Linked DNA regions of Saccharomyces cerevisiae S288C. The gene in region 3 interacts genetically with the main gene of each other region. Each region holds a gene or a part of one and is shown on either strand. Other genes may lie near its edges.

Evidence for each region.
Region 1: of ENA1 (region 3) and TOK1, changing one enhances a phenotype caused by changing the other (phenotypic enhancement), as found in Saccharomyces cerevisiae (2 studies listed by BioGRID).
Region 2: mutations in ENA1 (region 3) and NHA1 impair growth when combined (synthetic growth defect), as found in Saccharomyces cerevisiae (6 studies listed by BioGRID, with this or other methods).
Region 4: of ENA1 (region 3) and SNF1, a mutation in one rescues a mutant of the other (synthetic rescue), as found in Saccharomyces cerevisiae (2 studies listed by BioGRID, with this or other methods).

Annotation. Positions count from the first base shown.
Region 1 is NC_001142.9:251,026-258,370, forward strand, and holds TOK1 (Tok1p), read right to left. Parts: upstream 5,788-7,345; coding exon 3,712-5,787; downstream 1-3,711. Other genes in the region: mitogen-activated protein kinase kinase kinase BCK1, read left to right, coding at 1-666; KHA1 (Kha1p), read right to left, coding at 796-3,417; DNA helicase SRS2, read left to right, coding at 6,398-7,345.
Region 2 is NC_001144.5:415,401-423,860, reverse strand, and holds NHA1 (Nha1p), read right to left. Parts: upstream 5,425-8,460; coding exon 2,467-5,424; downstream 1-2,466. Other genes in the region: RRN5 (Rrn5p), read right to left, coding at 1-178; SLS1 (Sls1p), read left to right, coding at 388-2,319; RKM5 (S-adenosylmethionine-dependent methyltransferase), read right to left, coding at 5,752-6,855; TIS11 (Tis11p), read left to right, coding at 7,203-8,060; SLX4 (Slx4p), read right to left, coding at 8,334-8,460. UniProt on the Saccharomyces cerevisiae protein: Sodium export from cell, takes up external protons in exchange for internal sodium ions. Also capable of exporting potassium ions.
Region 3 is NC_001136.10:531,481-540,394, forward strand, and holds ENA1 (Na(+)/Li(+)-exporting P-type ATPase ENA1), read right to left. Parts: upstream 6,988-8,914; coding exon 3,712-6,987; downstream 1-3,711. Other genes in the region: Na(+)-exporting P-type ATPase ENA2, read right to left, coding at 1-3,102; mitochondrial 37S ribosomal protein uS10m RSM10, read left to right, coding at 8,323-8,914. UniProt on the Saccharomyces cerevisiae protein: Catalyzes the hydrolysis of ATP coupled with the export of sodium and potassium from the cell. May export potassium less efficiently. May transport other cations such as lithium.
Region 4 is NC_001136.10:1,408,447-1,416,005, reverse strand, and holds SNF1 (AMP-activated serine/threonine-protein kinase catalytic subunit SNF1), read right to left. Parts: upstream 3,634-7,559; coding exon 1,732-3,633; downstream 1-1,731. Other genes in the region: PEX29 (Pex29p), read left to right, coding at 1-796; SNM1 (Snm1p), read right to left, coding at 835-1,431; YDR476C (uncharacterized protein), read left to right, coding at 4,879-5,553; JIP4 (Jip4p), read left to right, coding at 5,912-7,559. UniProt on the Saccharomyces cerevisiae protein: Serine/threonine protein kinase essential for release from glucose repression.

The DNA.
Region 1 (7,345 bases), on a different chromosome or scaffold from region 3:
GAATATGTTGCTGGTGGCTCCGTGGGATCCTTGATTAGAATGTATGGAAGATTCGATGAACCGTTGATCAAACATTTAACAACACAAGTATTAAAAGGATTGGCATACCTACACTCGAAAGGTATTCTCCACAGGGATATGAAGGCAGACAACTTACTTTTGGATCAAGATGGTATCTGCAAAATCAGTGACTTCGGAATTTCAAGAAAATCAAAGGACATATACTCTAATTCGGATATGACCATGCGAGGAACAGTCTTCTGGATGGCTCCTGAAATGGTTGATACAAAGCAAGGCTACAGTGCAAAAGTTGATATATGGTCTCTGGGATGCATCGTTCTGGAAATGTTTGCTGGTAAGCGCCCGTGGTCCAACTTAGAAGTCGTCGCAGCCATGTTCAAAATTGGAAAGTCAAAATCGGCACCACCAATTCCTGAGGACACTTTACCATTGATATCGCAAATCGGACGAAATTTTCTGGACGCATGCTTCGAGATAAATCCAGAGAAAAGGCCAACCGCTAACGAGCTTCTTTCTCATCCTTTTAGTGAAGTAAATGAAACATTCAATTTCAAATCTACCAGACTCGCGAAGTTTATAAAGTCAAATGATAAGTTAAACTCTTCAAAATTAAGGATAACCTCTCAGGAGAATAAAACTGAATAGCTATTAGGATCGATCTATACTTAAGATATTTATGCATACGTAATAATATAGAACAATAAACATAGATGACGGAATGACGGAATGACTGAAAATTAAGAACAAAGAAAATTAAAAAATTTCTGCTGATACTTATTCAGACGAAAAATGGTGCACAATAAGGGTGTCAAAACGACGATTCGACCCTTCAAATATTACAGTCCTCACCTCTTCGCTGAAGGGCTCACTTTCATCAGGAAGGTCCTCTCCAATAATAAAGGTAGTCTCCTCTATATCAGCTAAAGCAGTATCTGATAAACCAACATCAAGCACAGTCTCTATAAAGGACGGCTTTTCAATTGCTTCTTCTGGAACTTTCGTTTCAAAGGGGATATCCACAATTTTAATGGTAGATTCGTTTAGCCAGTCATGCTCAGCAAATGCAGTTGACAAATCTTTTGCGAAATCAATATTCTTGCTGTTAATAAATATACTACAGGATGCATTATCATTATTATAGCCATCTCTATAGCATATCAATAAGAGAAGATATAGTCCAAGATAATCGGATTGTGTCAGGTATGGTTTTGGAAGTAATAAATTGAACCGTTTCCTCTTAAAGCGATCAGCATTTAATCTGCCATAGGTATTTGAAATTTGAACGGCAAAATTTGCCTTGAGTGACTGGAAAATAGACTTGAAGAAAGTAGATGATAGTTCATTCAGACCTAGGAGATGAGAATAAATGTGATCAAAGTTTGCGTATTTTTCATCAATGAAGACTGGGCTCCCTCTATACTCATACGAGGCCCCTTTTAATGGCAATAAGATCAGATCTGTGGAATCCATTTTCATCGTCGCTATATTAGCTGCCTTTTCACGCATTGTAGAAAATATGACTTCACTTGAAAATGGTATTTTGCTCAGGTTTGAAAATATATCAAAAATTTGTAATAGTGAATCTGTATTTGCGGTAAAGTGGGGATCATCATTATATAGAGAAGATGATTGCAGCAGATCAGTTGTCCGTTCAGTGAGCAATCGTAAATGAATGGCCCTCAATGCACCGACTCCCTCAAACGGGGTCAATTTTTCATCTATAACACTTAAATTGGTATCCACATCGTCAACGCTTTTAGACCAGATATGAACCATCTTTTTTATTTTGAATGTGTTAGATTTCAATGTGGAATCAGTAGCTGTTGTCATTCTGCTCAAGGAGGTTTCGTTCTTATGTTTATTATTCTTAGGCTTGGGAGATACCCCTAAAGACAGGTAATTTAGCAGCTTTAGAGATGGAGAGATCGCTTCTGTAGTGTTTATCACCGTGGTCAGTTCACCAATTCTATATTTGCTAACATCTGCCAATGAATTAAGTTGAGTGTTAATTTCAGTCTTGTCCACACCCTCAGAATCGAGACCATCTGCTGCACCATCATCTTCTGCAGGTGTAGATAAGGATTTGCGAACACCATCCCGGTATGAATCTGGGTAAACAAGCTGAGTCAGAGGAGTAGTGACAAAAGTAGAAACTAATGCCATCAACACAAACATACCAAATATTTTTCTACTGATAATGCCCGCATTCAAACCAACAGTTAAGACAACGATTTCAACGATACCTTTGCATGACATCAAAACACCGGCTGCAGTGGCTTCTCTCCAAAATAAGCCAGTAAGTTTAGCTGTAAGAGTACCTGAAATAATTTTGGTGAAAATGGCGATGCCGATTGTGGCGAAAACATAGCCCCAATCTCTTCCCTCATTTAATAGAGTCAAATCGACATTTAATCCTGCAACAGCAAAGTAGATTGGAATGAAAACAATGTTAGGAATATCTTCCATCCTTTCTGTTAATTTAACAACGTAGTGATCATCTCTAGGAACTACTAAGCCAGCAATGAAGGCGCCAAAAATAGGATGAACTCCAATAATATCCGTAAAATAAGCAGAAATGAACATGATGAATAGAATGCACATCGTTGCCAACGGTGAAGGCTTGCTTCTGTCCAATTCATGGGTCCTTATGAGCACCCATCTTAATAGGTATTTTAAGGGAAAGAAATAAATCAAAAACCATGCAAACGTGATAAGCAGAATATAAACGGTATTGACAGGGCTCCCTTCTGCACTAGAAAGAATAATACTTAATGCTAACAAAATCCATCCCATTATATCGTTAATGATACCCGCCGCAAGGACAACGATACCTGCTCTATCCTTGATCAAGCGCAATTCATTTAAAATACGACATAAAACTGGAAAAGCCGTAACGGAGATGGAAACAGCTATAAATACCATGAAGACAGAGAATTTAATATGCCTTTCGCCTTCTGTTTTGTTTGCATAAGTGTGAAATAAAGGAATCGCCAGCAGACAACCAAAACCGAATGGCACTGCTAAAGTGACTATACCTATCACGAGTGCTTTCTTTAGGTGTTTCTTGATGAAAGCAATATCCACTTCTAAACCTAAAAAAAACATAAACAGTATTATTCCCAAATTCGCCACTAAATTTAGCCCCGGGATCGATGATGTAGGGAAAATTGTGTTTGTATAGTTTGGAATTTGACCAAATATAGTAGGCCCCAAAATAACACCAGATATAACTTCTGAAATGACTTTAGGCTGCCTCATCATTGAAAAGGGAATGTGAATTAAATTGCATACCAGTAGTATGAGACATGCTTGAAAGAGAAATAATGTAAGCGGCGAACTGGAGTTGTAGTGGAACGGATTTACACCCGACAGAATTCCTCCTACAGTGTTTGCCATTTGATAGAATATAAATAATACAACTTCGTAATAATAATAATCGTTGGTATCATTTGATGTGTGCTTTAGCAACAAGAGATGATATAATAAGCGAACAGTTTTTGTTTTTTATTTTCCCTTACTGGAGCTCAGCCACATTAATGCGAGACGCAACGGGTGCATAATATTGAAAGCGCATTTACAGCAGAAAAATGCTTTCAGTATTTATTTTGAGATGCTGAATATAAATATTTAGAGAATACATCCGTAGTAGTCTACAGTAAGATATAAATCAATGCTTCGGGTGTTTGTATATCAAAGTGTCTTTCTATGCTCACCCAAAAATTTTCTTTTGCTTATAACTTTATAAAGCTCTTCGTCTTCTACTAGATTACCAACTAATTCTTCTATGTTCTTGAAAAGCATCATAAAAGCAAAATGAGGTTCATTTAACGGGAACTTGAGGGGCGTATCAGGTGATATCCAAAATTCGGGTCCGCGTGTGTACTCCTCAATATCTGTAATGTTCCTCAAATGTAGTTTATGAATGTACGACCAGTCGGAAAAACTAAGTGTGTAATCTTTATCCGCCAGACATATCCGATGTAGTTTTTTGACGGCTTTAAGTAGCTCTTGCAAGTTCCTTAAATTACAGGTCCCCGAGTCCTGTAGTGCATATTCAGCAGAAGAAACATATTCTAGAGGAAGTATTCCCTCTGGGCTAGATGCTTTTGATAATGAAGAAAATGATTCTTGCAGGCTTGCAGGAGGGGATGTCACTCCAGAATCATTCTCTTCTGAATTATTATCGTTGAATTCAGAAATTTGACTGGATTGTGAGCTCGTTGTATTTTCTTCCAGATCACCATCAGCTGTGTCAGATTCTTCGAAAATTTCTCCAGTGTTCACCATAAAGGAAAGTGCTCTTTGACGCCCATTAAAAACGATGGACTTGACTTTATTATTGAATGATTCACCGATCTTAATATCCAGAGAAGTGGAAATGTCAAACAACAGATCACCGACTGTAGATAGGATAGCCCCCATTAATGGCACGGCTCCCAACGCCCAAATCACAAAAAAAGCACGGCCTGCACCAGTCCTTGGAGCATAGTCTCCGTATCCAATGGTTAATAAGCACAAGAAACAAAAGTAAATACAATTGAAGTACGACCAATTTTCTGCGAATTTGAATACAAGAGCTCCCAATAACCAAAAAGCCATGAAAATTGCAATAGTCACCGACAAAGAAAACCAATGCTGCTTCCTTGAGGCCGTTTGTCGGATACACTTCATTAAGTCGAACGCTTCCCTTTCAGATAAATTTTTACTACTATCCATATAATGTTTCCACGATTTGGACCTGCCTTTTTCAACTCTGTGGAAAAAGAAAATTGGGCCAGAGGACTTTTGAATGATGGATCTTGTCATAAACACTATTAAACCCATCAAGACAACACCAGATAGCGAAAAGATTAAAACCATGATTTTGGCGCCAACCGACTTGGGCAGGATGTCACCTAGTCCCACGGTTAATAATGATACCGTGCAGAAATATAATGCATTTCCGTAAGTGATGTGCAATAAACCGCTAAACATACCCGCACCCCAAATCAACCATAAAGACAATAGTACAGTGTATGCCATGATACTTCTTTCATTGGGCAAAAGGTTGAACGTTGGAGGATATTTTCCTAATTTATATCCAATAAAATGTATTGTTAAAATAATGGTGCATACCAAATATAGACCAGAACTGATACAGGCAAACCAAAATCCGATAGTCTTACTGTAGATGCTGGGCATGTCATTCAAGGAGCATACAATCACGTCCACCAAAAGCATCCCTCCAGCTATTGTCCATCCTGTTATATTTATTAACTGAGATTTAAGATACGTCAACTTCTTACTGAAATGTAGCATTAGTATAATATTTGACGTAAAACCCAGTACCAAAGAGATGATATTAACGGCAAAAATACCAGGAGGATCAAAAACTGTCTTTACTTGATTCATCAAAACATCGGTGTCATTGCTTCGTGGATTTGTCACCACGGAGTTGTTCTTTAAGGATCTCCATTTTTCAACTACACAGGCTATCGAGATAGTGTTAGCTACGGGACCCAAGCAGGCAGTAATCACAGGGAAATAGCATGAAACCACAAACCAAAAGACGAACAGTGTTGAAGAAGGCTCTGCATTAATAATACTAACTCTTTCGTCCCGGAACCGCAATGCATCCTTTAGTTCCTCTGCAAGAACACCCTTAGCTTGCTTCGGTGTGTTGTTTGAATGAGAATCAACAGCCTGAGCTGAGCTCTCTTGCTCCACTGTCGCCATATTGCCATATCCCAGCGTTTGTTTGGCAAAGCTGTTCATGAACCTTGTCATATATATAGAAATCGGTAAAATAAATACAAGAAATATGCTTTGTTATACTGCTAGAAAGGAGTGAAGACATCTGCTCACGATCTACGAGATGCGGCTATTTTTGATGGAAAAAGATACATAGGGTCAGGCATTTTTGCCATATTGAATAACCAAGATGGTACTGAGTACTCAGGTAATGTATATTACATTGAGTACTTCACTTGTATACACAACCACTGCTTCGTATTGTATATCAAGTATCTAACTGTTGATAAACTACAACTTTCTCTTCAACCATAATGATAGCGCCGCTTAAAACATGCTAGGGTAACGAGACGCGAATGCGAAAAACTCCCAAAAAAACCAAAACAAACAAAAGTGACAACAATTAGAACGATGCTGAAGAAGAATAGGAGCGAGTTTAGAGTTACCTCCAGCTATCCTGATACTACTGCTTAGGCTACCTTCGCAGAGTCTCGATAAATTTGCAGTCGGCAAGATAAGAATATTTCTCTACAGCTTTTAGACAGCTTCCTGTCCCTCTAGTTTCTTTTGCCATCCATAATTGTACTCTGCACTTTGAGTATCATTCCAATTTGATCTTTCTTCTACCGGTACTTAGGGATAGCAAATGTCGTCGAACAATGATCTTTGGTTGCATTTAGTATCCCAGTTAAATACTCAACAGAGAGCAGCGGCCCTCTTTGATTACACTAGAGGGCTGCAGGTCATTGCCGGTCCCGGCACAGGGAAGACTAAGGTTTTAACTTCAAGAGTAGCGTATCTTATTCTGCACCACCATATTCATCCCCGCGATATTATAGTGACTACTTTCACTAACAAAGCTGCTAACGAAATGAAAGAGCGTTTGCAAGAAATGTTACGCGGGGCAGGCGTGAATATTTCGGAGCTCTTAATTGGTACTTTTCATAGTATTTGCCTGAAAATACTTTATAGATTTGGCCACTTGGTGGATCTACAGAAAGACTGGAGAATTATTGATGAGAAGGAAATAGATGTCATTTTAGATGATATGATCGAAAAAGTTCCCGACCAAATAAGGGATTATGCTTCCTCAATCACAAGGAAAGTAAATCTTTGTATGCCGAGTAAAAATGGAGATGAATGGACTATTCATCCGAAGCTGATCAAGAAACAGATATCAAAGCTAAAATCAAACGCAATATTACCTGAGGAATACATCTTAGATTCGAATCATGACGCCGCGCTTGGTTACTTTTACCAAATATACCAATCAGAGCTAAGCAAGAAAAATACGTTAGATTTTGATGACTTATTAATGTACACCTTTCGTTTGCTGACTAGAGTGCGTGTTTTATCCAACATAAAGCATGTTTTAGTTGACGAATTTCAAGATACTAACGGCATTCAATTGGACTTGATGTTTCTTTTTGCTAAGGGAAATCATCATCTTTCGAGGGGGATGACCATCGTAGGTGATCCTGATCAAAGCATATATGCTTTCAGAAACGCCTTAGCGCACAACTTTCTAGAAATGGGCAGAAAATGTCCCATCGAGTACTCAACTATCATACTTGTTGAAAATTATCGTTCATCA
Region 2 (8,460 bases), on a different chromosome or scaffold from region 3:
CACCAACGCTAGAGATTTCTACACCAGCATTGGCGGTACCCGCCTTTTCATGGATGCTCTTTACATGTACTTTGGAAGGATGGAACTCAGCTGGGCGGCCTGACGCGGCACCATTGTAGAATTCCTCGACCTCCTTATTGTACAATTCGACGTACTTCCGCAATTGTTGGTGCTCCATCCTAGGTGACCGTCGTATGCGCTGTGCTTTCCTAGCTCTTCTTCCACTTCTGTTTCTCTATACTTTTTTTTTTGTTTTTCACCTCGCCCGCCTTTTCTTATTTCAGTGAACTGAAAAAAAAAAAAAAAGTTATGTATCTTTAATGTAATAAAACTAGTACATAATATATACGGAGCTTGAAGGCACTGGAGAAAATATAGAGTAAGCATATGTGGAAATTCAACAAAAAGCTCGCCCGTCTTACTTACCGTCTTTATTCAAGCTCAGGCCCAAGCTCGCCCCTTCATGGGAAGAAGAAACTGCCGCAAAATCTGAAATTCGTCGTCTTGAACCCTACCCAATCTGGGCTAGTGAAAAATGATCAGAAGCAGCCTAGACACAGGCCGTCTAAGAAACGTAGCCATAAGGAAACTGGAGATAACAACCTCGATTTCGGCTCGAAACTCCTTGTCTTCGAAAAGCAGAATTCACTAGATTCCGCATTGAACTCCATCCGATTGAAGAAACCGACAAGCGCCAGTCTGCCCTCCCTGGAATACAATGCCCTTCTCCAATCGCTTACATCAAGCTACAATCGCTACCAACTGCGCGAGTTCATCTCCACACATCAGCCAGACTCCTCTTCACATCTGACGCACTGGAAGAAAAGCAAGCTGTCCCAATATATAATTGAAAAAATCTGGAATTGCCAACCAATTTCAACACCCACCACTCCCACAGGCATCAAGTCCACATCATTGACTTTCCAGTTCGATTCTCCTAGAGAAATTTTCCTTTTACTCATCACTCAAAATGGTAAAATACTCACCAACTTCAATAAGCTCGGGCTGACATTCATCATCTCCATTCAGGATAACGAATTGACCGTCAAGGGTTCGCCTAGCTTGCTCAAATACGCAGAAATATCCTTAAACAAAATATGGTCAAACATCACTCATGAAAATGTGCGTATGTATTCCCTCATGCCATCAAAAGACGTCATCAACCTTATTCAGAAGGAAACTCACACTTTTTTTGAATACCTCCCGGACTTGCAAATGTACAAGATTTCAGCCCTAAGCACCAAGAAAATATCCATGGCCAAAGTCTTTTTATTAAATGCCGTCGCTTCTAATCCTAACACAACTCAACACCACCACACAATAGCCTCACCAGCACTCAAGACAGAACTCTATCCGTTCAACAATACTCTAGAGAACTTGGACTGGCTAAACAAGTCACAAGATTGGGCAAGATTACAGTCAGTTGTCCCTAAAAATTGCACAGATCTGATGACTCCCACTGAAAACGCCACACCAGAATTGACAGATGCGCAGGTCAGCCAATTCGAATCTTCCTTGTCTAAAAATATACCATCTCTCTCCCCTTCCGACTCTATTTCCCAATCTTTATCAATAACGCTAGGTCACTCCTTACAGTCCGCGTCTTTTTCTAGTATTTTCCAACCTCTAATACATAAGAGTTTTATTTCAAAATTACTGAATCTACCAATGTACAAAGAATCATCATCATCAGCCGTACCTGTGCCTGTGCCTCTTGATCAACATCTAATAACAAATGCGCATCAATCCTTCATACAGCTGAACTTCACTCCTGTGCCGCCCACCTCTGGCTCCTCCTCGTCCCCTTTTTTGCAGATTTGGTTCGAGATTGACGAATTCGATAACATTGTTACCACCTCAATGAGGCCTCTTTTGAAATTACAAGAAAATTCTGTTATCTTAAGAACTCCACAATGCCAGACAGACTATAAGATCACGTCAGATTACATTCAAGATCTTTTACCTGATTTCGACCAGACCAATCCGGATGCTTGGTTATCTGAACAAAAAGGCCTCCAAGAATTTCTTCTCAAGTCACACTGGAAGTTAAACAAATATCAGAATCTTATGAAAAAAATCAACATTTCTTTACCAGATAACCTAATACAGCAATACCAATTGACTGATGTTTTGACCCATCGTGTCTTGAATTTACGATTTCCTACGAACACTGCCCAAGATGATAAATACATCATTCAATATTCAGATATCAGCCGCGGATTTTTGAACAATGGCTCCTACAGACAATTAGATTTCATCAATGTGAACCCCAGTGAAACCTCACTAAAAACCTTTATCAATGATGTTTTAAGCTTTTAAGTTTAACGGAAAAGAGTAATGACAAAACCGCATACCCCCCCCCCCTCCCCCTCTTTACCGCATCTACTCTATTTCCGACACATGTAAATAAAAAAGGCATTTCGTTTATATATATACTAAAATAATATATCTTTGTGTATTAATAAATTACTTATTGAGACCAAGCGTTTTTGATAGCGCCGACTTAACAGCAGCACTCTTTTGCTTTTTTTTTCCTTCCGCTGTACCTGGACCATCGTTTCCTGTTTGTGCCTCCACAGGTAAGGGCGGCAACTCTTCGTCATCTTGATCCGCTGGTGCCGTCATCTCACCTAACGCATTTAACCTTCTTTGTCTTTCGAATTCAGTTTCTGATTCATATGCATTATCGTCGTAATCTTCACTATCGTCCATGTTATAACTATCACCTAAATCCTCCTCAGATGAAGGTTCATCTTCCAGATCTAAGGAATCTTGAACTCCTCTCGGTGGCGCAGGTGTTAATGTCCTTTTCTTTAACATCCCTGGGCCCTTCCTGGAGGGTCCTTCGATGGCTTTTTCTTCATCTACTGGAGGCGGTACGCCGCTGTTCGCTTTGCTCTTTAGTCCTACTGCTGTTAAAGCTCTTGATACAACACTATCGTTTCTTGGGCGGTTTTTACTTTTATCATCATCAGATTTATGAGGATTTATCTTGTATCTTTTTATAACATCACCGTCCTCATTCTCGATGATTAACAGATTGTCTATTTTAAATGCATGATACTTGCTGTTTTTATTTTTATCCTTTCCTTTATCAACCAATGAATGTATCTTTCCTAAAGATGTGGGAGTTAAAATTCTCTTTAACCTTCCCCCACTACTACTGGATAGATTGGTCATTGTGGTAGTTAAACTTGAATGGGCTGTACTATCAACACTAACTTCGTCATCTCTCGCCTCATTGCGATCCTCGATATCTACTTGATTCAAGATTTCACCTTGCTTATTTTCAATAATCATTCTATTACCATCTAAATAAGCAGTACCAGGTTTCATTTCTTCCTCTTTCATTTTTCGAATTCTCCTCTCTTCACTACTGGCCATTGATCTTTCACTTTCATTTTCCATCTCGTCTTCGCTTTCAATCTCGCTTTCTGTCTCTTCTCCATCGTAACGGTTTCTTGGTACGTAAGTTCTTCCTCGGAGAGATGAAGATCTTTCAGACGACTCAAAACTTGGTGTGTTATTGTAATTATCGCTATATTCCTTTTCCGGTGTGTACTCATCTTCTTCTTCATCTCCACCCATTCCAATCTCCTCATTACGTTGTGTATTGACGGCTGTGCTCAATGCAAATGTGGCGGCGCGTGCTTCCTTTTCTTTTTGCAACCTTTCTCGTCCCAGATCATTCAACTCATCGTCATCATACATTTCATTTTTAGATCTTGATGAAAATATTTCTCTACCTTTGTTTCTCAGTTTCTGTCTTCTGTTCAATCTTTTCTCTTTTCTTGACAATTTCCTCCTCCTTGGCATACCACCAGCGGGTCTTGCAGGAATTCCGCTCGTTGCGACGCTACCAATTTGATCATTGTTTAATCCTTCTTCATCTTCACCTCCTGCTAGTCCCTTACGACCTCCTCCTTCTTCTGCTTCACCTTCATCCCCTGATAAAGTCATTTGAGTATCCATACGATGCAATGAAAATGATCGTCCAGCTTTATCCAACGATGGCAACCTTTGCATCCATGAACTTTTCCCATTATCACCATTGGTGGTGTGTGTAGTGAATGTTTTGGTTAACGTTATCGTGTTCAAATGACGACCTAGAGTTATGATTGCAACTGAAGAACCATGAACTATGATAGAAGTAACAATGAAAAAACAAGTTATTGGCCATATACAGGCTATCAGCTGCCAATGTTTACTTTCCTCTTTTGATGGTACAACATTTAAAGGAGTGGGTTCGTCACTAAAGGTAGACTCTAATTCTCCACGAGCTAGTATAGCGGCAAAAATTGCACCTACACCAATAGGACCAAAATGGCCCACAAAAAGTGCCTCACGCCACGATTTTATATCAGGTATAAGAGGTCTTAATATCATGACTGCAGGGATCCTACGTAAAAAGATGACCACTATCGAAAGTATAATTAAACGCCAGACGTTTGTGCCAATTTCACCGTTGTTGAATTGACTCCAAGGTATAATGGCACCAAAATAGATAAAATACGCATAGTTTAGTAGCAAATCAATCACGGTAGAAACATTACTTTCTTGTGTCTTTTGAGAAAACCACCCATCCCAAGCGAAAGTCGCACCGGCTGCAAATGATACCAATAGGTCATCCACACCCAAAATGGAGCCGAACCCAGCACACATGAACGCCAGGACAACGTAAAATGCTAAGAACGACTCACGATCGATAATGTTTTTCTTTTCGGCAAACCTGATGGTGATTCTGCCTACATAACCAATGAAGCAACCTAGCAAGCATCCAAACAAACACTCATACAGGATAGTAACGCAAATCCAATCTTTGACAATTTCTCTTCCATTACCGGGATGTAGGATTAAATTCATAGAAAGAAATAAAAAAGGAAAGGCCATACCATCATTGCAGCCTGACTCTGCAGACAGTAGATTTCTTAAGTGACCAGGTACTCTTTGGGCAAACTTACCGGAGACGACCGACTGCGCCAGAATAGGATCTGTTGCGGTAATGCACGCAGATATCAACAAACTAGCAGAAAAATTCAAGCCAGGTATAAGAATCCAAACGAAGAGACCAATAATAAGCCATCCAGCTGTCATCACTGGCAATAATAGCATCGTCACAGATACCCAATGCTTCAACATATATTTCCGTGGCAGTTCCACGGCAACGGCAAAAATTTGCAAACATAATACTATTCTCGTTATCTCTAATGTTATACTGTCTGAATTCCCCCATTTCAGAGGATTAAACCAGTTCAAGCAAACAGGACCCACAATTAGCCCAAATATACCTGCTACGGTGGACTCACCAATATAAAGCTTCTCCTTGACATAAAGTGACACTAAAGAGAAGATAGATGAAAAGACACCAACACATGCATAAGCAACGTGCGCCTTTGAGACTTCTAGTTGCTCCCAGATAGCCATAATATCTAGCTAAGTTCAGGATTTTTTTTTATAATGTACAAAAAAACACGATGCTTGGGAAAAATAAGTGCAGTGGAAAATGAAGCTTAAAAATCAAATGTGTGTAGAAAGTGTGATCCTATGTAAATCGCTAAGTCCGCTTTATCTTGACGATAACGGATCCAGCAGCTTTTAGATTATTAGCTATATCACACAGAGTTGGCTTAGTGCCCTTGCTAATCAAAAATGAAAATCTTCCCAATCCGTACGGAGGGGAAGAGGCACTGCCGCATCGCAAAGAAAAATAAGATTATCAGCATTATATTGTTTCTATTATTATATATGGGACTAGGTGATAAGATAAAAGTTAAAACGGGACTCTTGTATGACCTGGTCAACGATATCATAAACCGTGAAGTCATATTCTATGATGGCTTTCTCCAAGAACAGTGTTGTCACCTCTTGTGACCGCAAGTGTATCCCCACGAGGACATGGAATTGCAAATTGTAGGTAGTTTGTAACCAGTGTTTGAGTTGCTTGAGCGTCTTCAGAAACGGATCTATCAGGTACTCGTTGTATATGACATCCATAGCTATAACGTACACGGAAGAACATGTTTCACCTATGAGTGACAACTCAGGATGCAGAGAGTGGGTCTTTTTGTCTTGCAAGTTTATCTTCTCCCAGTCTAGAGCGGCTACTTCCAAATGCAACGTAGACTTAGATGGAAGTGACGCTGCGGTGATATCAGCGTCGCCAACTGGTTCGACGGTGGGAAGTTCCAATCTTAGTGATCGGGAAATGCACCGCTTTCTGGTCAACTGTGATAAGTTTTCCATGATGTTATCTTTTAATTTATTAAGAATGCCCTTCTGATCTGTCGACACGTAGGTGTCGACGAAGTTACCAAGAATCACGGGCAAAATACCTGATATTCCTGCTCCAAGTTCCAAGATACCTCTCTTGCCGCGATCAGCGCCCGTGAGGTCGACCAGCCTGGGCAACTCAAGCTTGTGCCCCTCGCAAGAAGACCCGCAGGTTACTTCCACCTGACTCCCAAGACGGAAAGGTGCAGCGCTAGTACTATACAGCAGCCAGTTGATGAAGAAAGGTGTGGTAGACCACAAAACGTATCCTGTGGTGGAGTTTCCGTTGTCTCTGGACGAGCGCAAGCTTGATATGGACTGCCCCACGCTAACATGATAGCTATCCACAGCAACATTCTGATCTTCTTCAACACTACTAGCCTTATTTCTTCTTCTCACTCGCTTTTTTTTTCTGCCGCCTTCCAGCCCAGAGGGTTCAAACGTTATCTCTAGCACACCGCCCCTTCTATCCTGAATACCCAAATCCTGCGCCAGTTTCCCGGACTGGCCCTCCAATTGTGTGTACCGTTCGAACACGTGCTCGTATATTGTTTCCTCATCCAGTAGCCATAACTTGAATGCCATTCTGCCTAGCCCATTTGCGTCTTCGCTGCCGTAACCATTCTCTCTTCTTGACAGCACTGCCTTGGTCAGTTCTCTATATTTGTCGCGCCGCCGCAAAATGCACCCACATTAAAGAAGACGACGCCAATCGACACCCTAATTTGGAGGTGTAGATGCACAATGGCACATGCAGTTGGGTGCATTGTGCCAGCAATCTCGTCTCGATTTCTCTACATGTAACTTGTATATATATTTGAGAGAAGACATAATCGTTGGTGGGACTTGGAGGCTCTTGGTAGGTCGTATTTGTGCATCTTGAGAGAAAGCGAAACAGTGCTGCAAACTCAATACGTAAAAAATAACGCAATATGTGGGCTCAATTATCATATACTAGACCAGAATCTCAGAAGACTGACTTAACGTCGTTGTTTTCCACAGATCAAGAGCAAAATCCATTAAATGACTACCAGTACCAGATCAATATTAGGGAACTGGAGGAGTATTACAACAAGACGATTTTAAACGAGGATAACATACAGGAAACAAGCAGTGAAATATCTTCGGCAGTTTCATTCTCTCCACCAAAAAATACAAACGCTATTCAACCGGGGCTACTGTATGATCCACAGTTAATGAACCCTTTTCTCCCATCCGCTCACCTGAATAGCACGGCACCTACTACTTTTAAAAAGAAACTAGAGGTACAAATAAATCCGGACTATGTCCCAAAATCTTCACAATTACCATTAACTTCACAGAATTTGCAACAGTTGTCTCAACAAAAGCCCAAAAATGATGCTTCTTTTTCATCAGAGAAGGAATCCTCAGCTCAACCTAAGGTGAAAAGCCAAGTGCAGGAAACTCCCAAACAATTATACAAGACAGAGCTGTGCGAATCATTCACTTTAAAAGGAAGTTGCCCTTATGGCAGTAAGTGTCAGTTTGCTCACGGACTCGGCGAATTAAAGGTTAAGAAATCGTGCAAGAATTTCAGGACGAAGCCCTGTGTGAATTGGGAGAAACTAGGTTATTGTCCTTATGGCAGAAGATGCTGCTTCAAACATGGCGACGACAACGACATTGCTGTTTACGTGAAAGCTGGTACTTACTGTAACGTCTCTTCGACTAGCAAACAATCAGACGAAAAGAGAAGCAATGGTCGCGGCTCCGCCAAGAAGAAGAATCTAAATGTTAAAGTAAAGGCTTTGCAGAGAATGACCTGGTGAAACAATTCCTGGCCTGGCGAAGACCGGCGTCTCAACTAAACTCAATTATTTATTATTTTTTTCTCCATGTTATGCTTTTTTTTTTTCTGCTTTTTTTTTTTTATTCTCATTTTCATGTTTGCGATATTGGTAACTCTAAAAAAAAAAAACTTTTATTTAAGTTAAGCTACTTCATGACGGTATATATGCATATTTGTGTACGTGTATTCTTCATCTATACGTAACGTTTGTTTTGTTTTGTTTTTGTTTTGTCAAATTCTCAATCATTCGGCACTACTTTTTATCGTTTCTCAGACATATTCCTTGAACATCGGCCCATTCTCTGATGGTCATTTCGTCGATTTGCGAAACAAATGGCTCGGCGCTGAACAGCTTTTCAATTAGCTCATTTAGCGGAATG
Region 3 (8,914 bases):
AATTGTGAATGCAATGGCGAGACCCCATTCAGCACCAATTGGTTTATGCAAAAACACTTTATCATTAATAACCGGAATATAGACGACGGGGAAGGCTGACACAAATCCAAAAATGATTGACCAGAACAAAAACTGGTTTCCCCAAATACTTCTGAAAAATTCCTTGACTGGGCTGTCAGTGTCTGGATGCATTCTGAAAAAGGATCTTCTCATGTCAACCACTTCCCAAGCCAGAATCAAAGCGCACCACGTCATGGTTGCGAAAGCCGCAGAACGTGATCTATAAACATCACGACAACTGCTGTTATAGGTGCCATCACAATCGTGCCCCAATCTACCACTATTTATTCCATACAGTGATCCAGTAAATGAAGCCATACAGGACCCTGTCATTATAATCCCATATGCAAATGTATCTATAATAACCTCCCACGTGAAAATACCAACCTCTGAATCATGAGGAGGTCTATCCATCAAATCTGGAGCAGCCTTTTCTAGACCTAGCCCCATAGCAGGAAAACAAGAGGTGACGACAATAATCCACAATACTTCCACTGGTGATAAGGGAAATACTGATTTTCCGTTCTCATCTCTGAATACTAAACCAATGATCAAATACAAAGCCTGAGCAACATTTTCTGCCAATAATTGTAGGACAAACTTCTGAATGTTATCCGTCATCCTACGACCTTCTTCGACAGCATTCAAAATAGAAGCAAAATTGTCATCGCTTAGAACAATATCAGACGCTTCTTTGGAAACATCTGAACCATTAATACCCATTGCAATACCAACATTGGCCATTTTTAGAGATGGAGAATCGTTAACACCGTCACCTGTCATTGCGCAGAACTTCTTCCTACGGTGTAAAGCTTCGATCATTCTCACCTTAGTCTGCGGAGAGCAACGTGCAATAACTAAAGGTAAGACGGGCAAATCGTCCACTTCCTCCTCACTTAGTCCGTCAAACTGAGATCCGGTCATGACCATACTGTCAACAATCTCTTGGGAGTAATGGTACAAATTGGTGGGTAAGATGCCAACCTCCTGAGCGATAGCCTTTGCTGTACCCACAAAGTCCCCAGTTAACATATGAACGTTAATACCAGCTTGGTGAAACTTCTTGACTGCACCGGCAGTCTCATTTCTGGGTGGATCGTAAATACCAATCAACCCTAGGAAAACTAAATCACTTTCTGCGGTGGCCCTGTTTGAAGTAATGTTTTTCAATTGATCGTCATTCACTTGATCTTTAGTGAAAGATTTGGAGGCAAAACCCAAGACTCTTAAACCCTCATTTGATAGACTGTAAACATTTTTCCTTATCGTTTCGACATCACAATCGGTCAATGGTGTGATTTTTACACCATCCTTACCATACCAAGAACTGCAACAACTGATGATGCTTTCGAAAGCACCCTTGCCATAAATATTATATGTTTCGTTGTGATTGTTGTAGTAGACAGATGACATTCGCTTCACAGTTGAGTCGAATGGGAATTCAGCAATATGTTCGAATTGTGCACTGCCAGGCTTCTCATTGTGTTGTGAAAGAGAGGATTGGTCATTCTCATTACTTTGATTAGTCGATTTCTCACCGGTAAGGGCATTGTGAGGCAAGTCCATCTTAGTAGCAAACACTTGAATCGCAATTTCTGTTGGGTCACCATGAGCTTTCCAACAGTCAGTTGCGTCATCTTTGAAAACAGTAGCAATGTTAGCCAAAGTGGCGGTTTCGAGCCATTTTTGAAATAGATCCATGTCAATATCTTCTGGTAAATCTTTTTCGTATAGGCGATCCTTGAAATTCTGGAGAATACCAACGTCACCATCCTCATTATGAGAATATTCGTAAGGTGAAAACCTTGGAATCAAACTCACGTTGCCCTCATTGGGATTAAAGGGGTCATCAGAATTCGAGATAGTTATGGTACCAAAGCGAGGGATCCAAATTTGCCTCGCTAACATTTTACCCTGTGTAAGAGTACCGGTCTTGTCAGAACAGATATCGTTAACGGCACCTAAAGCTTCCAGAGAATCTAATTTTCTTACAATAACGTTTCTAGAAACCATAACAGCAGCCCCAACAGACATGGTGATGGTCAAGACAACGACTAATGAAGAGGGAATCATGGATAGGGCCACACAAATGGCATAGATAGCTACCCTTTTATCTACGTCAAACTTTTGAGAGGCCATGACGATGATAGCAAAAAGTACGGCAATCCAGAAAAGCAATACCGCCAACTTAGACAGTTTCCTGTGCAGGGGCGTACCGACATTTGTACCTAAAAATGCACCAGTAACTTTCTTTGTAGATATCCATGTATTCTGTAACCACGACTTACTAGGATCGCGGGAAATGAGACCTGAATCACCTTGTAGAGATTTTGCAATTTTACCAATTTCACTATTCAAAGCTGTCTTGATGACAATACCCTTGGCTCTTCCCTTGACAACGGCGGATGAAGAAAATGCTAAATTCAAACGATCACCCACGGAGGTTTCTTCTTCTTTTCCAAACACTAAGTTGGCGTCTTTGGAGACAGGCAAAGATTCACCGGTCAGTAGTGATTCATCAGTATCAAAATTCTTAGTTTCAATTAAACGCAAATCAGCAGGAATAGTATCACCGACCTTCACCAGACAAATATCACCTGGAACCACATCTTTTGAGTTTATAGTCTCACTTTTCCCGTTCCTAATAACATGAGCATTGGGAGAGCTCAAGTTTTTCAAAGAGTTCATTGTCTTGGTAGCCTTATATTCTTGAACTAGGCCAATGAGCACATTGACCGCGATAACAAAAGAAATAACGCCACCAGTAATCCAGTCGCGCACAGCGAAAGAGATCGCCATGGATATTACCAAGACCATAATCATTGCATTACATACCTGATGGAGGACCATTGCTTTATAGTCAATTTTGGTATCATCACCCAATGTGTTCTCTCCCACTGCTTTCAGTCTGCGGAGGGACTCATCTTGAGTAAGACCTTCAGTCAGACTTGTGCCTATAAATTCAGCGGCTTCTTCTGTAGTCAATGTGTGATAAGCATTGAATTCTTCATTATTGTTTTCTTTGACAGTTCCCTCGCTCATCGAAAATTTTCAATTATGTGTACAAAGATTTTTCCTCAGTGAGTACATACGTTATCTGATAAGCAAAATACGAATATGAATAACGTTGATTTGGTTAACGTATTCTCGATGTAAAGGATGAAGGAAAATAAAATTCTTTCCTCTTTCTTTGCCTCGAGAGATAATATGGAGATTTAAAGAAGAAAACATCAGCCTCACAATTACACCGCGCGGTGATATAAGGATTTTGATAAAAGAATATATGTGAGTTGAATTTGAACGTCCTGGAAGGAAAAGTCTTGACGAAATAAACGCATTAATTTTCTAATTCTACAAGAATTTAACTAATCCTGTATTGAAATTCATAATTTTAGTTAAGAACCCTGTCATACGCGTAACGTAACTGTATCTGTTTCATGATTTACAACGGCAGCAATAAGAGTATAGCAGTAGTATTCCTCTAAGACATATTTGAACTAGAAAACATACTATTTAGGCTTGTTTATGTTCAGAACCTGTGAAAAGTTCGTTTATAGTAAATAAAAAAACAAATAACAAAATAAATGTAAATATCTAAATATATGAAATGAATAAGGAAAAAGATAGGGAGCACTTAATAGGCCCTGCCTATCATTGTTTAATACCAATATTAACTTCTGTATGGATTGTAGTAGAAGTACTATACGCTTCGAATGGATCGCGCTTATTGTTACTCTCCAAATCATTCTCCGGGTTGTGCGCTCTCTGAGTTTTGAAATAGCGCCTCTTTCCACACTTGTAAAGTTCAGCACCTATCCAGAATGCAATTGTGAATGCAATGGCGAGACCCCATTCAGCACCAATTGGTTTATGCAAAAACACTTTATCATTAATAACCGGAATATAGACGACGGGGAAGGCTGACACAAATCCAAAAATGATTGACCAGAACAAAAACTGGTTTCCCCAAATGCTTCTGAAAAATTCCTTGACTGGGCTGTCAGTGTCTGGATGCATTCTGAAAAAGGATCTTCTCATGTCAACCACTTCCCAAGCCAGAATCAAAGCGCACCACGTCATGGTTGCGAAAGCCGCAGAACGTGATCTATAAACATCACGACAACTGCTGTTATAGGTGCCATCACAATCGTGCCCCAATCTACCACTATTTATTCCATACAGTGATCCAGTAAATGAAGCCATACAGGACCCTGTCATTATAATCCCATATGCAAATGTATCTATAATAACCTCCCACGTGAAAATACCAACCTCTGAATCATGAGGAGGTCTATCCATCAAATCTGGAGCAGCCTTTTCTAGACCTAGCCCCATAGCAGGAAAACAAGAGGTGACGACAATAATCCACAATACTTCCACTGGTGATAAGGGAAATACTGATTTTCCGTTCTCATCTCTGAATACTAAACCAATGATCAAATACAAAGCCTGAGCAACATTTTCTGCCAATAATTGTAGGACAAACTTCTGAATGTTATCCGTCATCCTACGACCTTCTTCGACAGCATTCAAAATAGAAGCAAAATTGTCATCGCTTAGAACAATATCAGACGCTTCTTTGGAAACATCTGAACCATTAATACCCATTGCAATACCAACATTGGCCATTTTTAGAGATGGAGAATCGTTAACACCGTCACCTGTCATTGTGCAGAACTTCTTCCTACGGTGTAAAGCTTCGATCATTCTCACCTTAGTCTGCGGAGAGCAACGTGCAATAACTAAAGGTAAGACGGGCAAATCGTCCACTTCCTCCTCACTTAGTCCGTCAAACTGAGATCCGGTCATGACCATACTGTCAACAATCTCTTGGGAGTAATGGTACAAATTGGTGGGTAAGATGCCAACCTCCTGAGCGATAGCCTTTGCTGTACCCACAAAGTCCCCAGTTAACATATGAACGTTAATACCAGCTTGGTGAAACTTCTTGACTGCACCGGCAGTCTCATTTCTGGGTGGATCGTAAATACCAATCAACCCTAGGAAAACTAAATCACTTTCTGCGGTGGCCCTGTTTGAAGTAATGTTTTTCAATTGATCGTCATTCACTTGATCTTTAGTGAAAGATTTGGAGGCAAAACCCAAGACTCTTAAACCCTCATTTGATAGACTGTAAACATTTTTCCTTATCGTTTCGACATCACAATCGGTCAATGGTGTGATTTTTACACCATCCTTACCATACCAAGAACTGCAACAACTGATGATGCTTTCGAAAGCACCCTTGCCATAAATATTATATGTTTCGTTGTGATTGTTGTAGTAGACAGATGACATTCGCTTCACAGTTGAGTCGAATGGGAATTCAGCAATATGTTCGAATTGTGCACTGCCAGGCTTCTCATTGTGTTGTGAAAGAGAGGATTGGTCATTCTCATTACTTTGATTAGTCGATTTCTCACCGGTAAGGGCATTGTGAGGCAAGTCCATCTTAGTAGCAAACACTTGAATCGCAATTTCTGTTGGGTCACCATGAGCTTTCCAACAGTCAGTTGCGTCATCTTTGAAAACAGTAGCAATGTTAGCCAAAGTGGCGGTTTCGAGCCATTTTTGAAATAGATCCATGTCAATATCTTCTGGTAAATCTTTTTCGTATAGGCGATCCTTGAAATTCTGGAGAATACCAACGTCACCATCCTCATTATGAGAATATTCGTAAGGTGAAAACCTTGGAATCAAACTCACGTTGCCCTCATTGGGATTAAAGGGGTCATCAGAATTCGAGATAGTTATGGTACCAAAGCGAGGGATCCAAATTTGCCTCGCTAACATTTTACCCTGTGTAAGAGTACCGGTCTTGTCAGAACAGATATCGTTAACGGCACCTAAAGCTTCCAGAGAATCTAATTTTCTTACAATAACGTTTCTAGAAACCATAACAGCAGCCCCAACAGACATGGTGATGGTCAAGACAACGACTAATGAAGAGGGAATCATGGATAGGGCCACACAAATGGCATAGATAGCTACCCTTTTATCTACGTCAAACTTTTGAGAGGCCATGACGATGATAGCAAAAAGTACGGCAATCCAGAAAAGCAATACCGCCAACTTAGACAGTTTCCTGTGCAGGGGCGTACCGACATTTGTACCTAAAAATGCACCAGTAACTTTCTTTGTAGATATCCATGTATTCTGTAACCACGACTTACTAGGATCGCGGGAAATGAGACCTGAATCACCTTGTAGAGATTTTGCAATTTTACCAATTTCACTATTCAAAGCTGTCTTGATGACAATACCCTTGGCTCTTCCCTTGACAACGGCGGATGAAGAAAATGCTAAATTCAAACGATCACCCACGGAGGTTTCTTCTTCTTTTCCAAACACTAAGTTGGCGTCTTTGGAGACAGGCAAAGATTCACCGGTCAGTAGTGATTCATCAGTATCAAAATTCTTAGTTTCAATTAAACGCAAATCAGCAGGAATAGTATCACCGACCTTCACCAGACAAATATCACCTGGAACCACATCTTTTGAGTTTATAGTCTCACTTTTCCCGTTCCTAATAACATGAGCATTGGGAGAGCTCAAGTTTTTCAAAGAGTTCATTGTCTTGGTAGCCTTATATTCTTGAACTAGGCCAATGAGCACATTGACCGCGATAACAAAAGAAATAACGCCACCAGTAATCCAATCATGCATGGCAAACGAGATTATCATGGATATTAGAAGGACCATGATCATGGCATTACATACCTGATGGAGGACCATTGCCTTGTAATCAATTTTAGTGTCATCACCCAATGTGTTCTCACCCACTGTTTTCAATCTGTGGACGAACTCATCTTGGGTCAAACCTTCAGTTAGACTTGTGCCTATGAATTCAGCGGCTTCTTCTGCAGTCAGCGTGTGATAAGCATTGAATTCTGCATTATTGTTTTCCTTAGTAGTTCCTTCGCCCATCGAAAATTTTCAATTCTGTGTACGAAGTTTTTTCTTTAATTAGTAAATATACGTATTGTTGCCTCAAATAAATGTGAATTAAGTGTGAACAGTTCACTTGATGAAGATATCTGCTTTATTAAAGTTAATATTAGAATATAAATGATTAGACTATTACTAATGAGAAAAGAAAGATAGGAGAAATAGTAGAAATTAATAGTACTCTAAAAAGAAAGAACGGAATAAGAGGAAAAGACCTTTTATCTATTCAAATTGTTTCCCTTAGGTATATATATATATATATATATATATATATATTTTCCCTGTATATATCTATGTAAATGACGAAAACGCATGACATTTTAAAACCTACCCCGGGTTTGACCACAACCCACCGTTCATCTAATATTAACCCGCACCCACCAAGGAAAGAGGCAATAATTCGGGAATACTGCTCTAAGACCTTGTTTTTTCTTCTGTCAGGTGAAAGTATATGACCAAAATCTACATCCCTGCCCTAACAAACGTCATAGAAGTAGGAAATAAATGATGAGCCCCGCAAAATGACGCCGCACGGCGATGTTTAAGACCCTGTACTCACAATGTAACCACTTCGTGCAGAAGCTTCTGGGAGGAAAGGGTCCGTACATGAATTATCACACCCACACCCCTCATTCAATCCTTCTACCGCGCATGGTAATCAATCATAACAGGAAGCGATAAGAAAGTTTACATTGCACAGCCACCCTCATTGCCTCTGTGATTGAAGATCTGGGAGTGGGGCTAAAGGTGCAACTTCCGTACAAGAGTGACGAGATAAAGGATTTTCCACGGAATGGCTGACAAAATTCGGGGCTTGTGTGAGTTCCACGTGCGGATGACTTAATAAGCTCAGTGATTGTACTTTTGACATGATTGATGAACGGCTAGAGATAGCCACCGAGTGGCTACTTAGTAATAACCAGCGTAGGAAACAATTACGGATTTTGTTATCGTTCACCGATAACCCTAAAATATTGACCACACTGGTAGTCATTAGAATTTAACCAAGAGGGTAGCTTAGTTCGACCGATAATCAATATTACTGAAGTCTTATCAAATTCTGACTCTTGCCATACCGTTTCTTATCGTCACTGTTTAATCCGGAAATTAGTCATGTATCCACACATCCTTTATTAACAGCAGAGAGATTGGGCAAGAATGTTAGCAAACTATGTACCAGGCGGGTAATACCTGTACATCTATTTTCTTTTGAAAAGGAAAAAATGCAAGAAAGGGCATGAAATGAAACTATTTGGTACAAATTAGAATTATGCGAACCGTGCAAAATCAGAAAAGGGGGAAAAACATTGGCCAATGCTTAGAAATACCATTGCATTAAGATCATTTATCAGAACACAGTCGACGCGCCCATATCCTGTAAATGTAGAGGCAGTCTACTATGCTCCTTTAAAGTTACCTATCAAATATGGTGATTTAGTTGCAGACATTCAGTTAAGATCGTATGACAATGAAAACCTCGATTTTTATTCAGACTTCATACTTAGAACAGGTTACTATTTGGGTATCCCATTGACAGGTCCTAAACCTTTGCCCACGAGAAGAGAAAGGTGGACTGTAATAAAATCACCTTTCGTGCACGCTAAATCCAAAGAGAATTTTGAAAGACATACACATAAGAGGCTCATTAGGGCCTGGGATACGAACCCCGAAGTGCTACAGATGTTGATAGCTTACATTACGAAGCACTCTATGGCAGGCGTCGGAATGAAATGTAACTTCTTTCAAAGGTCCGAAATATCGCTGGACTTGGGTTCGGACGCCAATGGCCTCGAAAAATCACTAAGCAATATCGATGAATTGTATTCTCTGAGAAACGATGATAAAGCTCAAACTAGTGCTGTCGGACAAAAAGTATTGGAACTATTGGATAGCCCCGATTTTAAAA
Region 4 (7,559 bases), 880 kb from region 3:
GCTCATTCCAATGAGACCCGTACTGATACTGCTAGGTTGGGGTTTTTTTATTGCCTCGCATCCGTCCAATCGTGAATATTTGTTGACTAAATTGAATTCGGAGGAGACAAGATTAAAAACTTTGACTATAAGTACTAATCTGGAATCTAAGATTTTGCAGCATTTGAAACTCATTGAGGCTAGGGAGCACCGACTTGTTATGATCTTTGAGATCCAAAAGTATCTTCCTGAATACAAAGAATGGCGCCCAGTTGGATTCTCTGATGACGATTATTCTCTTTTCTCTAGTTTGAGAATATACCAGAGGCGTATTGAGGAAAATTCAGTGAAGTCATTAGAAGAAATTGAGCCACCTAAGGATTGGGAATGGGAAGCCAATTCTCATTGGGTGCTTGATTTGGATCCAAAAGAATGGGTAGAGGACGAATTTATTCAGTATGTCGAGATAGATTCAGAAACAAAATGGGTCTATGACCTCAATCTTGATGGACAAAGGGGCTCATATAGAAGGCGAATGTGGACCAACAGTTGCGTGCGGAAAAAACTGGATTCTGGTATTTCTTCAAACCTTGGTGAGGAGGAAGTAGTTAATCCATTGAGGGAAGAAACATATAGGCAAGGCGTACATGGCGTGACGAAGGGTTCAATGAGTGGCGGTCTAACTCACAGTAGTGATGATGACCGCGCTGATGAGGAAAGTATAAACGGTACTATTCCTAATCTCAACAATATCGACGCGGATGCATCTTATCCGTCAATCGAAGAGCTAACAGACACTCTCAATTCAACTATATAAACTTGATTTGTTATACTATATGTTCACTGATGATACAGTCAACTTTTCATAAAACTTTCTAATGACAGTGACGAACTTTTCTTCTTTTCCATTTTTTTCTCTTGATTTCTTTTCGATAAAAGGTTTGTAAGTGAGTTCAACTTTCTCTTCTTGGATCTCTCCTTACCAGTACTAGTTTTACTCTTTTGGGGCTTCTTTACCGCGTACGAAACCTTCCCGCTGCTGGTACTATTGATCATCGGACTAACATCTTGTCCAAATGTTGGAACAACGAACTCAGATTTCCACTCAAACAATTTAGACTTTTCACAATTCAAGCAATTAACCTGGATACATTTTTTTGGTCCTTCCATACTCTCGCCGCCAAGTTCGTCGGAGTCACCTTGCTCGGTATTAGTCGTTAACTGAAGACTTGCGTTAAAATTAGGAACGTAAACACACCCGCAATGGGAGCAAAATTTCCCACTTTTCAGTTGTTCTGGCAGCATGATTTGATATCGCTTCACAGAATTATGAAAATTTTTATAGTATAGTCCCGATAACGCTCTGGAATTCAGTGTTGGCAGTACATGTAGTAGGTTGTATTTTTGTCGCAGACTCCGTTCTTGATATTTTTCTGCCTGGTCTTTATTCATTTTTGGGATCCTTTTGTTGTACGATTGTCAAAGGTTCAGTATTTTTATTGTAGCCACTAGTAGTACTCATCTCTATTTTCACATAGAATAGCGTTTTCAATTTTTCTCATAGAGCGTGAAATTTGCTTTTCATCCGAAGAAATAATGCCAATAAAAGAACATTCACATCAATAAATTATGTTCAGGTTTATTTAATCAAGATTGTTTACTTTATACAAAGGGATATTATAAAGATGTTGCAAATACGTTACGATACATAAAAAAAAGGGAACTTCCATATCATTCTTTTACGTTCCACCATCAATTGCTTTGACTGTTAACGGCTAATTCCATAATTAGTTTTGTTGTTAAATGTAAAAATGGGTAGGCTGAAAAAGTACTCATTTCATCTTCAGAAATATTAGAAACAGTAGTATCATCTCCATAACTACTTTCCCAGCCGTCAAATTTGAAATCCACCAAATAATTATTGGTTTCAATTTGAAATAATTGAATTACCATTTTCATTAAATCAGGTATTTTTTCATTAGTGTTTGTCTTGTTTCCAATATCATATTTCCACCTTAATTTGATAGTCCATAAATCCTCTTCAGATGGCTTGGCCCATTCGGCACCCAAATTCTTCAAGGCAATATAAATTTCACCCATAACGTCTAATGGATATGAGCGAGATCGTATACCAAAATGCCATCTCGTTTTAGATTTTTTCGTTACAAGAGGAGATATTTTAGAGGCAGCTGGCGAACCTTGTGCTAACATATTAGCTCTGTGGATCTGAGGTAAAGATGTAGGCAAAATGGAAACTGTAGAGTCTTCTTCTTTATACTGATCCATGAAGGGTGATTGGTGATATGTCCTTTGTTGAGTGATAGCACTTGCCATCCTTCTTGCGTGTTGCTTGGCAGTTTCATGATCTACTTGACTCTTTTGATGGGATTTGCTTTGTTGTTGAAAAGTTGGAGGTGACTGGGACAGAAAGGTATCCAGTTCATCACTGACGCTTTTGTTTGCCTTCATATCCTTGATCAAAGATTTATTCTCCTTAATCAACATGTACGCGTCCCTAATTTCGTTGAATGCAGGAGTGTCTTCTGATGATTCTAAGGACTCATAAATCTCGTCTTTTTCGTAACCCATGGTCGATGATAAAATATTGACAAGGTTGTCATCAATTTCATCGTTATCTGGGCTGCTGCCATCCTTTTTTGAGTCATTATTTTCATTCTCTTCTTCTGGGTGTGGTTTCAAATCTGGTGGAAGTAGATATTCTGGCAGGTCAACTTTGAACCAATCGTCTTGCATAATTTCATGAATGCTTATTCTGTTCAATGGATTAACGATTAACATTCTTTTGATTAGCCCAGCAGCTCCAGGAGATAAAAATTTAGGCAAGGTGTAAACACCGTTGCTGATATTCTTGAAAAGCACTGGGATGCTTTCATCGTCAAACGGTAGACGACGACAAAGCATAACATAAAGGATAACCCCACATGACCACACGTCCACTTCTGGGCCTGCGTACAGCTTACCGCTGATAACTTCAGGAGCCGCATAATTGGGAGAACCACAAGAAGTCTTTAAGAAATTACCATCAGTCATGATGTTTGACAAACCAAAATCGGCAATCTTTACATTCAGATGCTCATCTAGTAGTAAGTTTTCAGGCTTCAGATCTCTATGGACAATTTTGTGCCTATGGCAGTACTCGACGGCACTGATGATCTGCTGGAAAAATCTTCTTGCCTCTTGCTCGCTCATTTTGTCTCTCTGAACAATATAGTCAAACAATTCGTTCCCGGCGTACTCTATAACCATAATGATTTCATCTTTGGATTTGATAACATCATACAGTTTGATGATGTGGGGGTGTCTTAAGAGTCTCAGATAAGATATTTCTCTTTCAATTCTGCCCTGCATATCACTCTTTGCCAAAACCTTCTTATTAATGATTTTTAGAGCAACTTTTTGGCCCGTAGTGGTATGATATGCCAATTTAACTTTACCAAAGGACCCCTCTCCCAGCGTTTTGACGATTTGGTAGTTCCCGATATGTGCACCATCCGCTAAGGACGACTTGGGATTGTTTAGCGTCGAGTTGCTTCCGCCATGACCGTGATGGTGGTGGTGATGGTGGTGATGGTGGTGGTGGTGGCTAGAATTTGCATTGGCAGGTGCTGTGTTTGTGTTGTTGTTACTGCTCATGTTGACTTTATTAAGGGAGTGTAGCAAAACTTGTTACAAAAAAAAACTTCTATTTCTTTCGCTATGATTATTGAAACAGCCTCTATATATTATCAAAAGCCAATGACACTGAAACAATTTCTATTGTCGTGCTTTTTTTTTTTTTTTCAGGCTTCAATCTATTGTTTATCGTTATACTTCCTGAATGACTGTTTGGACACGAATGCGCAGTAAGAGGAAATGTGAAAAAAGAATATTTCGATAAATGAAAGTTCTGGTAACAAGCCTACAGTACTAAGCCCAAAGCTATGTCTTGGCCCCTATAACGCTACCTGTTGATGTGCCATACTCTTACCAACTTTCTTTTACGTTAAAAATTTCCATCCCCTTCCGCTACGAGAAAAACTGCAGAGGGTAACTATGACATGTACTTTCTAATATGGGCCTATAAGGACTATATACATATGACTAACATTGAGTAAAACCAGGTCTCGAGTCCCATCATCACGCCCATCCTTTTGCATCCACGCCGCCACGCAATTCCTCTTTTTTTGAAGTTACTTGCGTCATGTGGGACATCATATGGGACATCATAGCCTGCAAGATCGAGAGTTAAATATACGACTAAAAGAAATAGTAGCACACTGCCATTTCCAGCTTTTAGTCCCTTGGGGAAGGTTCAGCATTTGATAGCAAATGATTGTACAGTTTATAACCGTATCTAAACGTACGGACATGTTTTTTCCTAGGGCCTCTATTAAAAAAATCTTTGAAATTTCCCTTCAATGCCACCCTTTTTTGCCAGGCATTGGTGGCCATGATTTGTTATGGCTTCCAAGAAAAGGTTTTACTACAGACGCCTTTACTACAGAAGATGCCTCTTCCTATCGTGATTTGCCCTCCAGACAAAAGCCGCGGACATAACGATGGCGGATTGCATTAGACAATGATTGCTATACGGAGGCGAAAGAGATAGCTAGCGACTTCTTAAAGGCGACATTGCTCCGCTACAAACGTGGTGGAGTTTTAACCCTACGAATTCAGTTACAAGGTTGAAGTTAGTGAGCAGCTTCTGTTCTGCCGTTTCTTGCGCAGTCTTGAACTTTCTTGGTCTTGCCATGTGGTCGGGATATTCTGTTCGTTTATAATTACTCCTTGCCACAAAGTGCACACCTATTTGGATATGGTATATATAAAGAGTGGAGGCTTATATCGGCGAGAGCGTGCGTTCTATCAACTCAAGCAAGTATACGGGTATACACAAGTATGTGGGATTCGTTAATTGTAAGCATCAACGATACGCACAAGTTGGGGCTGGAGGATTGTCTCGCCGTTTTTGGCCACGTTCCCATTACCAAGGCCGTCAAGCATGTCAGACTGACAGAGATCGACACGCAGACGTCCACGTTTACGCTCAAGTTCCTTCACACAGAAACGGGTCAGAACATCGAGAAGATTATCTACTTCATTGACAATGACACGGGCAACGATACCCGCACTGCTACCGGAATCAAGCAAATCTTCAACAAGATGTTCCGCATCGCTGCGGAGAAGAGGAAGCTGTCGCTCATCCAGATCGACACTGTTGAGTACCCCTGCACTCTAGTAGACTTGTTGATCCTGGTAGGCGTGGCGCTACCGCCATTGTGCTACCTCTATCGTCCTGCACTGCACGCTATCTTTTTCCTGGTCCCTAATCCTGTGGGCTCCACCTTAGAGGCGTGGCTGGATAGTGATCTTGTGCTGCGACTCATCATTGTTGCCGAGTTCCTGACTCACGCCCTCGAGACGCTCATTTTCGTCGTCCCTAGGCTCAAGTACTACCGTGTTCCTGGCGAGTTCGTGCCCGAGTGGCTTCTTCTAGGTCTCCTCGAAGGTTACGGTCCTGCGAGACGTCTAGATACTAAGGCTCGCACTCTTGGCGAAGGGTCAGTTAATTAGTCCGAGGCCTTTTTTCATTTTGTCTCCCTATCCGACTGGAAAAGTTCTAGCGAAAAGTGCAGCAGACGCTGCAGCAACAGGAACAATTTCCGAATGACCCACCTGCGGTGGTGTGGCACACGCATTCTGCATGTCTCAATAACCTCTAGAATTATCTATATACTTTTTAGTAAACACAACTTAAAACCCTTTTGTCTTTTCCAACATATTTTGCATATAATTTTTGTAAAGGTTTTTTTCTTCTCTTGAGTCCACTCACTATTCGAAAGCAATATCAACAAATAGAAGCTTTCTTCTATTTTTAAGGGAAGGAATCTTTAAAGTACAAGGAACAGAAGATACTAAAACATAGGGGGAAATGGTGGTACGAGATCAAGATGAGGCGTTGAGAAATTCTTATAAATATGTTAAGCTGTATGTCAGGCAGGACCAGCTGGAGGATACGGTGGACATACTCGCTAAGCAGGACGAGGACAAGTCCAACAATGATGACAGGCGCAGTCTAGCCTCGATATTGGACTCGAGCAGTTCCGTCAAAAAGAAGGGGAAAGGCAGCAACGAAAAGTACCTACCATGCGTATCTTTCAACACAGTTCCCAGATCAAGGGTATCTTCGCCCTTAGATGAAGAGAAAAGAGAATTTCCTGGCGTGCAGATCTCTGCAGATTATACAATGGAGGAATATTATGACGACGAAAGTGGCTTTACCTCGGACAACAATGCCGACTACTTCTCCGGGAATAGCTATTCGAGTAGGCGAGAGGGCAGTGCTAGTCCCGGCAGGTATTCTTCTCCACCTCCTGCCTCTAAAAGAAACATCAAAATAGGTAAGATGTTTAAGATTTCTGAAAATGGTAAAATTGTAAGGGAAGACTATCCTACTACACCCACCGATATCAATGACGCTCTTGTGATTAGTAGGGCGTATGCCAATTGGAGACAACTATGGATCAAGAAGAAAAATCAGATAGATCATCGATTAGAACAAAAGCGCGATTTCTTCAATTACCCAACAATACTGTTTCCTCCAAACAAAAAAAAGTCGTCTGAGGGCGCTACTCCCACAATAAAATTCAATCCTCCCATAGAAGACGGCTTTACGCCTTTGACTAAGTCTCAAAAGCGGAAAGAGCGTGTTTTGAGCGAAAAGGTTGGGTTCCCGAACACTCCTCGAACGATATTGTGCCACATCAGCGGCAGGAAACATACTTGGGTAGCACTAGATTGGGCGCTACGAACTTTGATTCAAAATACAGACCACATTGTTGTGTTGGCAAACCTGCCCCGCCTGACTAAGAATAATTTCGAAGACAATGATTCGATGAGTGAGCGAAAAAGAATGCTAATGATGATGGATGATAGCAGGAGTGTTAGCTCAGCAAGAAGATCACGATCCAGATCGAGATCACGATCCATATGTACAAGAAGGGCACTTTCTCTGGGGCCTGAGGAATCTGACAACAAATTAAAGCACCAAAATTTTATCGAGTGGACATCTGGTTATACGCAGAACGAAATAGAACGTAAATTGCAAGATCTTTTTGATTATGTTACACTCATAATTCCGCAAGATCGTTCTGTCAAGGTCACTGTCGAGATCCTAATTGGCAAGACTAAAAAAACGCTTCTTGAGGCAATAAACATCTATTTACCTGATTTCTTTGTATCTAGCACTTTGAGGTGGGAGAGAACAGACAGCTTAGTTCGTTGGAAATCGAACTTTCTGACAGATAAACTGTGTACTAATTTTCCGATTCCAACGTTTATTGTACCGGCAAAGAGAATGTTCGATTTGGAAATAGATTTGCAAAAAGAGTTTAAAGAACCGGAGGTAACGAAACAAAAAAATACTAGCGGTCCAAAGCCTGGGTTCAGCCATTCTAAATCAGCAGATGCTAGCATTCCAACTATCTCAAATATCAAACGGAAGCAAGATAACGATTATTCTATAGATTCACTATGTTATGCCCCAGAAGCTAATGGTGCTAACAATAGTAGCCGAGAGG